Bombyx mori: one gene and its partners. The protein of the gene in region 1 interacts with the protein of each later gene in a pairwise test. Links are inferred from orthologs where the notes say so. Each region holds a gene or a part of one and is shown on either strand. Other genes may lie near its edges.

What was found.
Region 2: the proteins of ras small monomeric GTPase Rab6 (region 1) and golgin subfamily A member 1 interact in a two-hybrid assay, tested with the Drosophila melanogaster proteins (2 studies listed by BioGRID). The link is inferred for Bombyx mori from reciprocal best matches to the Drosophila melanogaster genes Rab6 and Golgin97.
Region 3: the proteins of ras small monomeric GTPase Rab6 (region 1) and GRIP and coiled-coil domain-containing protein 1 interact in a two-hybrid assay, tested with the Drosophila melanogaster proteins (2 studies listed by BioGRID). The link is inferred for Bombyx mori from reciprocal best matches to the Drosophila melanogaster genes Rab6 and GCC88.

The regions. Positions count from the first base shown.
Region 1 is NC_085111.1:16,071,224-16,074,098, forward strand, and holds part of ras small monomeric GTPase Rab6, read left to right. Parts: intron 1-805; coding exon 806-1,011; intron 1,012-2,349; coding exon 2,350-2,416; intron 2,417-2,875. UniProt on the Drosophila melanogaster protein: Protein transport. Regulator of membrane traffic from the Golgi apparatus towards the endoplasmic reticulum (ER). Mediates membrane trafficking during egg chamber growth and organization, possibly upstream of exocyst component Sec5.
Region 2 is NC_085110.1:6,838,312-6,841,984, reverse strand, and holds the start of golgin subfamily A member 1, read left to right. Parts: upstream 1-820; 5' UTR 821-1,056; intron 1,057-1,127; 5' UTR 1,128-1,148; coding exon 1,149-1,265; intron 1,266-1,888; coding exon 1,889-1,939; intron 1,940-2,329; coding exon 2,330-2,501; intron 2,502-2,693; coding exon 2,694-2,851; intron 2,852-3,597; coding exon 3,598-3,673.
Region 3 is NC_085118.1:16,474,667-16,477,947, reverse strand, and holds the end of GRIP and coiled-coil domain-containing protein 1, read left to right. Parts: intron 1-573; coding exon 574-651; intron 652-1,417; coding exon 1,418-1,589; 3' UTR 1,590-2,656; downstream 2,657-3,281.

The DNA of each region.
Region 1 (2,875 bases):
AGAAGGGGAAAGCTTACAAAAACCTATTACCAATGTACGTATTATTATTATAGCTGTATGATCATATTATGTACACTAGATGATGACCGAGCTTTGCTCGGTTTTTTTTGATAACGCCATCTTGTTGTGTCTTTGAAGCGGCTAGTTGCCCTTAATTAAGAAAAAATAGTATTATTATGTGCCAATAGATGTCGGGAAGAGTTGATTATTGAAAACACGAATAAAACAACATTTTCTTTCTTATACCTTTAAACGAGCAATTCTTGTATATTAATATATATAATCTGAATCTCGGAAACGGCTCCAACGATTTTCATAAAATTTAGTATACAGGGGATTTCGGGGGCGATAAATCGATCTAGCTACGATTTATTTTCAGAAAATGTTGTTTTATTCGTTTTTTTAATAATCAACTATTCCCGACATCTATTGGCGAATAATAATACTATACTAACCGCTTTAAAGACAACAAGATGGCGTTATCAAAAAAAAAACCGAACAAAGCTCGGTCATCATCTAGTATATTAATATACAAGAATTGCTCGTTTAAAGGTATAAGATAAAGAAACAGAAATAATAAATGAAAATATAAAGAAGAAGAAGGAAGAAAAAATATTTTATTTCAATAATTCATTTTACAATTTATCGTTTAAGTAGTCCGTGACCTTAAAAACTTACCGACCTCCGAAATTAAGAGAGTGAGCTCAAATAGTGAAAGAAGATTGTGCATTACCGAAAACCCAAGAGCTCCATTATCCACAGACGTATCACTGACTAAGCTATAATATTGGTTATCAATTTTCAGACGCGAACTCATTCCACCAGACTTCGAAATGGATCGACGACGTTCGCACGGAGCGTGGTTCTGACGTCATCATCATGTTGGTCGGCAACAAGACCGATCTCTCGGACAAGAGGCAGGTCTCGACCGAGGAAGGCGACAAGAAGGCCAAGGAACTGAACGTGATGTTCATAGAGACAAGCGCCAAAGCTGGTTACAATGTTAAACAGGTATTATATTAACGCTTTTACATTAGGGTACAATAGTTGCGTGAAACTGGCAATATCTCTGGTAACATTGCGTGCAGTAAGGCGCATGTCCTTACGGATCCATCAGATCCAATAACCGTTGCATTGGACGCCTGTAGCTTTAGCATTAGGAGCAGGAACTCCGATAACCGTACTCGGCAAAGAGTACGACGTGCAACCTAACCTGAAAATCAGCCTGGGTAGCAATTTTCAACTCAAATTGGTTAGCAAATTTCACCCCTCCTGGCTGAGCCCTTGCTCGCCCATCTGTCCTGGTGAAACTATAAAGGCCTCCGGGCCAGTATTCATCTTTTAATCATAAAAAAAAGTTCAGTAAGGTAATATGTCGACGGATTGGTTCTTAGATTTTTGAATCACCGGATCACAACTTGCTACAAAAAGTTTACTATATGAGACTCAAATATGCCAGAGATAAAGGTCCGAGCTGGGCAACTATAACGAAATACTGTAGCTTTGTTTGATTTGGAGCACCGTTCTATGTAATCAACAAGGCTTGCGTGATCCGGTCTAAATAAAAACTTAAAGCAAATTAAAAAAAAAATTAAAATCGACTTATATATCAGTTGTAGAATCAATTAGAAATTATAATCTATACTAATATTATAAAGCTGAAGAGTTTGTTTGTTTCAACGCGCTAATCTTAGGAACTACTGGTCCGATATTAAAAATTCTTTCAGTGTTAGATAACCTATTTATTGAGGAAGGCTATAGGCTATATAAAATCACGGTAAGACCAATACAAGTGGAGCACCAATAAAGAATGTTTCAAAATAGGGGCTTAAATAGCTCCATAACATTCTATAATTCAAAAATATTTTCACTTTCTACGTAAAGGAAGTGGGAGTAAAATTTAGCGTTATGCCAAAATAACTATTCCACGCGGACGGAGTCGCGGGCAAAAACTAGTTTATGTATATAAGGAATAGTACGTGCGCATTTCCCGATCCACTAACGGTCCTTTTAAGTATCTCAAGCACCGGTCATCGCTCTCGTCGAACCCGTCGCTTGCGACAAAGGGCTCGACGAGTAAATTAACCCACAGACACAGCCCACTGAGTTTCCGCCGGAACTTCTGAGTGGGTCGCGTTTCCGATCCGGTAGTAGATTCTGCGAAGCACGGCTCTTGCTAGGCTTGAGCCCGGTGAGCTCACTTATAGGGTGAAGCTAAAATAGCCTCTCATGGCTATCAGCATAGGTAGGAGAAAAAAAAAAAAACATCTCGCCGTCTCTCTCGCACGTCCCGCTTCAATACCCTCAAAAAGAGTATGGTTAATTTTAAAACTTTTTTAACTTTTTCAGTTATTCCGAAGAGTAGCTGCTGCCCTGCCTGGCATGGACTCTGCCGAAAACAAACCTCCCGAAGACAGTATCCTTTTTAAATATAACATTTACAAGAATTCAGAATTAACAACAGGGTTACAATTACTTTCTGTACTCATCAACAAAATTAATGTTGACAACATAAGAACATCGGTTTTCCCCAAACGAAAAAAAAACAAATACCCCAACATTTCAATGTTTTGTTATACATTTGCTGTTGCACACATCGCATGCTAAAATATCATACACACATAACAAGTAATAAAATCACGCTCCATATAAAATAAACATTTAAAATACAACCCTAAATACGAGATACGAGAATCGCAAGGCTGTATGTGATATAAACATGAATTCAATTTTTCTATACAATAACTTTTAACAGATAATCATTTTTTTTTATGATAAAAAAAACTTTTTAAATATTGACAATTACCATTTCGTTTTTTAAATTGGTTCATTGATTAGCCGCGAGTGATATAGCGATGATATAGTTTTTAAGATT
Region 2 (3,673 bases), on another chromosome or scaffold:
TTAGTACCCATCGTTTGACACCAGCAGGTACGTTATCTACTGCTACTAGTCGAAGTTAGATCTCGATTAATTAAATAAATAATACATTTAACATAAGCTCTGTTAAAAATTTATATCCTACAGGGTTCCAAAAATATGCCCTAACACAAGTAAATGCCGTTTAGCAATTGCATCAAATAATTCTACTGCTCATTTTCGGGTGAATTAATAGCCTGTTACAACACTTATGGAAAGAGGGTATTATGCTATTCTAGGTAAGCACCGTGCAGACATAAATATATGACAGTATATCTTTCTATTACTTATGAGAAGTTGGCAGTAATAAAGAATTTTATGTTTAGCGTATAAATGCTCAAATATTAAGTATATAATCTATGTAAAATGTGCTATTTGCTAACAGCAGACTTTTTGGCGGGAACGCGAGAAGTGAAGTTGTGTGATTTGTTCTATTTTGTCTATTTAGTGTTTCTTCGGGTTTAAATGTGTAATAATGGTGGTTTATTAATTGTTTAATATCTGTGAAAGTGCACAAATGTGGGAAAATGTAACAAAGCCGCTGGACGTAACTTCTCGGGATCCTCCAAAAAGTCCACTGAAAAGATCTTAGTAAATGACCACCATTTTACTAAGATTATATTTCATCCCATATCATCTCATTTCATTTAATTTCATCCCAGTTGATTAATCAATGTTCAATCAATGACATTAATGTCTCAAATTAATCATTTTCATTTCATTTCACTCCCTATTAGCATTTTTCATAAAAATAAGAATATAAATTAAAATAAGACATGACTTAAGGTCTTAGTTACCAGGTCGTAAATCACTTAAAAAAAACTCAGTCAACTGCCAATTGTCAACAAATGTCAATTTCATTGCAATGTTTTGTGAAAAAGCTACCTGGCTAACAAAAAATTTCATGAAAATTAGAATATAAATTTTATCTTATTCACAATTCGTTCTGAAGCTTAATATGTACCACGCTTCGAGATCGGACGTTAGCCAGATTGACGTGTCGTAATTTTATCAGTTAGGTAGTCAAAAATATAGTACTTGGTAAGTTATCGAACTTAACTACAGAAATTACCATTTTACCAGTAAGTTATTATCTTTTTGTTCGTTTACAGTTAGACATTTCGCAAGTTATAATGTTTGCGAGTTTAAAAAGTAAAATAAAAGAGGAAACAGGAAGTGACATCAGTAAATTGACCAGTAGTTGGAGAAGTGGTGGCTTTTTAGGAAGAATATCACTCAGAGATGATTCGGTAAGATGTAAAATGCACTATTGCTTAAAATGCATTAAGTTTTATATAATAATAATAAATAAAACGAAATGTGTGCCTGACATTTAATTAAGACATTTAAGTTTTATAGATTTTCATCTGCAGACCTGTTTCCCATACTCGAAGGTCGCTTTCACCTCTTCATTCAGGCATTACAAGCTAGTTGTAGTACAATATTTAAGTCACCTCACTGAGCTGAGTGAGCTCATCCTACTCAAATCTTAGCTGAGAATTAACTTAACACATATCTGAACTGTTGGTGATCACATTTGAGTAGCTGGTTTTCATACATTGCATTAGTATTTTTTAAATTTTAATGACACTAGTATAAGTGTATAATTAGTTTTATCAGATGATGGAGATCCATCATCAGCTGCCTCATTGATTGATGAAGGTGATTAGTGGGACTAAGTTCAACTCTAGTCTTTAAAATTGCATATTTTGTAGCCTTTTACAAAAAAGTCATCCTTGTGATGATGACAAAAATAAAACTAAATTTTTAAACATGTGTCTTGAATACACCGAAACTTAAACTCGTGTATTTAAATCATAATTTCTCATTTTTGACATAAAATCCCACTATTAACAACTTGTTTAATTTTTAGTCAGCAACCAGCCCCTCGAGCTCTGGTGGTCTTGGAGACTCACCGGCTGATGTAAGTTTAAAGTTTTAGTGTCTATAGTTACAATATATAAATAATAGAAAACATGTTTCAGGGCTCTATAAATATAAATCAGACATTTAAGACTATCATAAATTTAAAAAAAATCATGAATTACTTCTACAGCTGTATGCTACAACCATTTTCGATTAGGAAATGTTTCCCAAAAACCATACATCCTGAAAATATTTTTATTTTTTTCCAATCTTGCTACAATTTTTCATATTAAATGAAGTAAAAAAATTAAATTAAGTAAGTAGAAAATTTTTATTAAGTTAAATTTTATTTAAAAGCTATGTAGATGTTGACCACCTTAAAATATATATTGAATTCTCTGACAGTGTAAAAATAATATTGTTTAAATTATTAATTTTATGTATTCAGTCCATCTCTCCGCAAATGGAAACATACTTGTCGGAACGTACTGGGGGCCAGATAGACCAAGCAGCATTACAGCAACAGTATTCTGTACAGCTAGAAAATAAATTAAGAGAAAGGGATACTTATTGGGAACAAAAAATTGAAGAATTGAAGTTGTCTCTAGCAACAGTTCAAGGTAAGTAACCTTGTAATAAGCATTGTGTTATGATAAATTCTATTTTTTGTAGAGCAAGTTGTAGTTAGGAGATTATAAAAAAAAAACATTTATGGTGTATTGTTTTACAGCAATAGTTTCAAGCAAGTAATCATGAAAACAAAGTTTTTCGATTCATCATAATAGTTGCCAACTAAACATGTATTCCAATAGGTGAAGAAGCAGCAGCAGCTCAAGCTGTAGCTCGTGCGGCCCAAGCCGAGGCTGTAAGGGCTGCAAACGAACGCGACTTAGCTGAAAAACATGTGAGCGAACTGCGGACACAACTAGCAGCTGCTGAAAGAGCCCAAGACAGGCTCGATGAGCTGATGGTAAGTATTATTATCAGTATATTTTAGTAATAATATTGTTTACAGCTATAGGTTATTAAAAATTTTTATTATTACTTAATGTCACTACACCATATAAATCTGAATGTACAATATAACATTTAGATAAGGCAAGGGGGAGCTATCGGCCACCCATGCGGTTACAACATTATCCTTGCCATCATCAATTTGCGCGTTAGCTGTTTAATTTCTTTTGCTTGATAAAGAGACTTTAGAACGGCAGCTGATCAACTAAACTGAAATCCGTGCAGTAGCCTTTTTAATTGGTTAAATAATAATAGAACATTGAATAATGACGTCATTATTCACGAAATCTTCAAAATACACGATGGTAATTTAAATCTATTTATCTGCTTAAATTATAATAAGGGCATTGTTCATTATGAGGTGTTACCACCAGGCAGGTCCATCGATTCTGAACTCTACTGTGAACAACTGATGAGATTAAAGCAAGAAGTTGAGAGAAAGCGGCCGGAATTAATCAACAGAAGGGGTGTGGTTTTTCATGATGATAAGACTCCAGACTCTCGACCTCACACATTGTTAGCCACTCAGCAAAAATTAAAAGAGCTTGGCTGGGAGGTGTTAATGTATCCGCCGTATAGTCTTGACCTTGCACCTTCAGATTTCCACCATAATTAAATAAACTATATTAAAAAATGTTGTAAATTTTCTTAAAAAATGCGTTGAAACTTTTTCTTCAATCTTATATACGAATATCGGTATAGGAAGAGTTGGAGCAGTCCCGTCGCGAGTGGGCCCGCGAACGAGCGGACCTACTCGCAGTGCGGGGCGAGAGCGAGG
Region 3 (3,281 bases), on another chromosome or scaffold:
AAAGCACGTCATTACGGATTCTCCCGATCCATTAACGGTGCTTTTAGGCACCACAAGCACCGGTCACCGTCCTCGTCGAACCCGTCACTTGCGGCGAAGGGCTCGACGAGCGAACTAACCCATAGACACAGCCCACTGAATTTCTCGCCGGATTTTCTCAGTGGGTCGCGTTTCCGATCCGGTGGTAGATTCTGCGAAGCATGGCTCTTGCTAGAGTCAGTGTTAGCAACACTCCGGTTTGAGCCCCGTGAGCCCACCTACACACGTTAGGGCGAAGCTGAAATAGCATCCCAAGCTTATCAGCATAGGTAGGAAAAAAAAAAACAGTTTTCGGTACTTGATGGCAGATGGCGTTACTCGTGCCGCCATAACAATAATAATATGCAGGTCAGGTGACAGGAACACCGATGCCAGAATAGGAAGGACGTGGTACATGAGGTCGATGTCTCAAGTTGCTTAGTGAATTAGCTTACATGTTAGACCTTGAAAGGGCACGTAATTCAGACGTAGGCATAATATTATAGTGCCATCGAGCTGGTGAGCAAAATAAAATAAAATAAATCTACTTTTCAGAGACTGCCAACGAGACGCGACCATAGAGAAAGAGCGCTTCAAAGAAGTCGTCAGAGCGCTGAAAGAGGAGATTGACAGGTAATATCAGATATTCTCCCTCGCATCAGCTCTGACACGTTTTTTTTTATTGCTTAGATGGGTGGACGAGCTCACAGCCCACCTGGTGTTAAATTGTTACCGGGGCCTGTAGAAATCTACATCGTAAATGGCGCTACCCACTTTGAGACATGAGTTCTAAGATCTCAGTTTTAACAGTACAACGGCTGCCCCACCCTTCAAATCGAAATGCATTACTGCTTCACGGCAGAAATAGACAGGCAACCTACCCGTGCAGACTCATAAGAGATCTTACCACCAGTAATTTCGCAACTTATAATTTTACAGGTTTCATTTTTATTACACGATGTTATTCCTTCACCATGGAAGTCAATTGTGAACATTTGTTAAGTACGCATTTCATAAGAAAAATTGGTACCCGCGTGAGATTCGAACACCGGTGCATCGTTACACACGAATGCACCGGACGTCTTATCCGTTAGGCCACGACGACGACTCTCGATTCGACTCTAGCTCTCGGAGTAATGGGCAGCAATGTACTGCGACATTATCAACGCTAACCGCAAATTGCATTACTGATTCAATGCTGTATCATACGAATAAAGCCGAATCTACACTAAGCGTCACTAAAGAAGAAATAAACATGAGTTCTTGTCGGCAAACGAGGTGGTTCCTCTGATGTTAAGCGTTTACCGAACCGCACGTGCTTGTGATGTGCTTGAGACGTGAGGTCGCCAGTAACACAAGGCATGTAACGATTTCGCTAACTGTTAAAATTAATTTTCAGATTAAGAAGAACGCAATCCCGTGAAGGTGCAAATTTAGAGTATTTGAAGAACGTTGTGCTCGCTTACTTGATGTCCACGGACTACGCCGGCAAGAGGCACATGCTAAACGCTATAGCCGCCGTGTTGCATTTCACTAACGCCGAACGTCACTCCGTGCTGTCTACTTTGTAAATTTGAGTGACCACTTAGGATCGGACGGGCCGTCACACTGAATACTTTAGAAGCGTCACTGTCGGTATTCGTTTTATCTTATTTTTTAAATCAACTTCGAGAAACTTCGACAAATTGTAATAGTCCTTTGGGAATAGCCACCGGCTTCGCGCGACCCACTACGTGAGCCATGTCGACGTCCTAGTCGTGTATAAGAGAGAGTCCACAATAATTCAAATTAGAATCATCATCAGACAGCACCTATATCTGCCGCGAAGCAGTAATGCGTATAGGTTTTATGGGTTTAATATATCACTGATCAATTAGAGTCTCAGACCTCATATCTTGATAGGGGGGCGGGCGGGCTTTCACTAAACACCTCATTAACCATGAGCTACCTTCGTTAAGCGTTCTGTAGAATCTAATAAATAATACAAACCCTAAAAAGTATTATATATCAGGTAAATACATTTTAATTAAACAACACTAATGCTATGTAATTTATATGTATATGTGTGTATACAAGAAACAACTAGAATTATGATACAAGTATAATTTAAGAGGATAACAAGTGATTCATAATTGGGTGGTGTGGTGTGCTACCGCAGCCCCACTCCGCCCCTGGGTGTCGCGAAGGGTCGCAGATTTCGCTTCCTATATACCAGGGTACTACGATCCCTATCCGCGTAATGCGACCCCCATCCGGGTAATGCGATCCCCAGCCGGGTAATGCGATCCCCAGCCGGGTAATGCGATCCCCAGCCGGGTAATGCGATCCCCAGCCGGGTAATGCGATCCCCAGCCGGGTAATGCGATCCCCACCCGGTAGTCTAGACTACACTATTGCCTTTATTTTAATTGAAAATAATTAGCAAGTAGTATTCATGGAAGATGCACACCGCGGGAGCGATCACCTTGTAGAATTGAGTGAGATTAATAAGTATTTCATATATCTTAAACATTATTTGATTAAAACATATAGTAGTGGATAGTGTTGGGGTTGAACTTGAGTACCGTATTCATAGTTAACATTCCATTAAAACGGCTGTATAATATAAATTAAAAATAAATAAAATATTTTTCATTACTGTGTTGTGTTTTATTGTTTTAATTTAAGAATAAAAGTCGGTTTTTGTTTGAGACTGAGTATCACTGACGCGTTGCCTCCCATTTCGTAATATGAACTTGCATAATTAATTAATACTAGTGATCGCCCGGCACTCGAAATTCTACCATAACTATTAATCTCTATATATATAAAAATGAATTGCTGTTCGTTAGTCTCGCTAAAACTCGAGAACGGCTGGATCGATTTGGCTAATTTTGGTCTTGAATTATTTGTGGAAGTCCAGAGAAGGTTTAAAAGGTAGATAAATATGAAAATACTCGGAATTAAATGAAAATAACAATTTTGTTTTTCCTTTGATGTGTCCCCCGTCGGACGGATTCCTTTTGTTTGTTTTAAGTTTATTTTATACAAAAGTTTAGGTCTTTTATTTATATATTAAGGCACTACGAAGTCTGCCGGGTCAGCTAATAGTTTAAAATATACGTTTGAAAATGATTTTGGTTCTATCTTCAAAGACTTTATTATTTCTATAATCACAAATTTTGCCAACGCTACACTATAGACAAATGGTATTAAAGACAAACAAATCGACTCATTCATTAAAAACAAGTTCTTATTTGGAATTTTCAACTTATATAGTATAC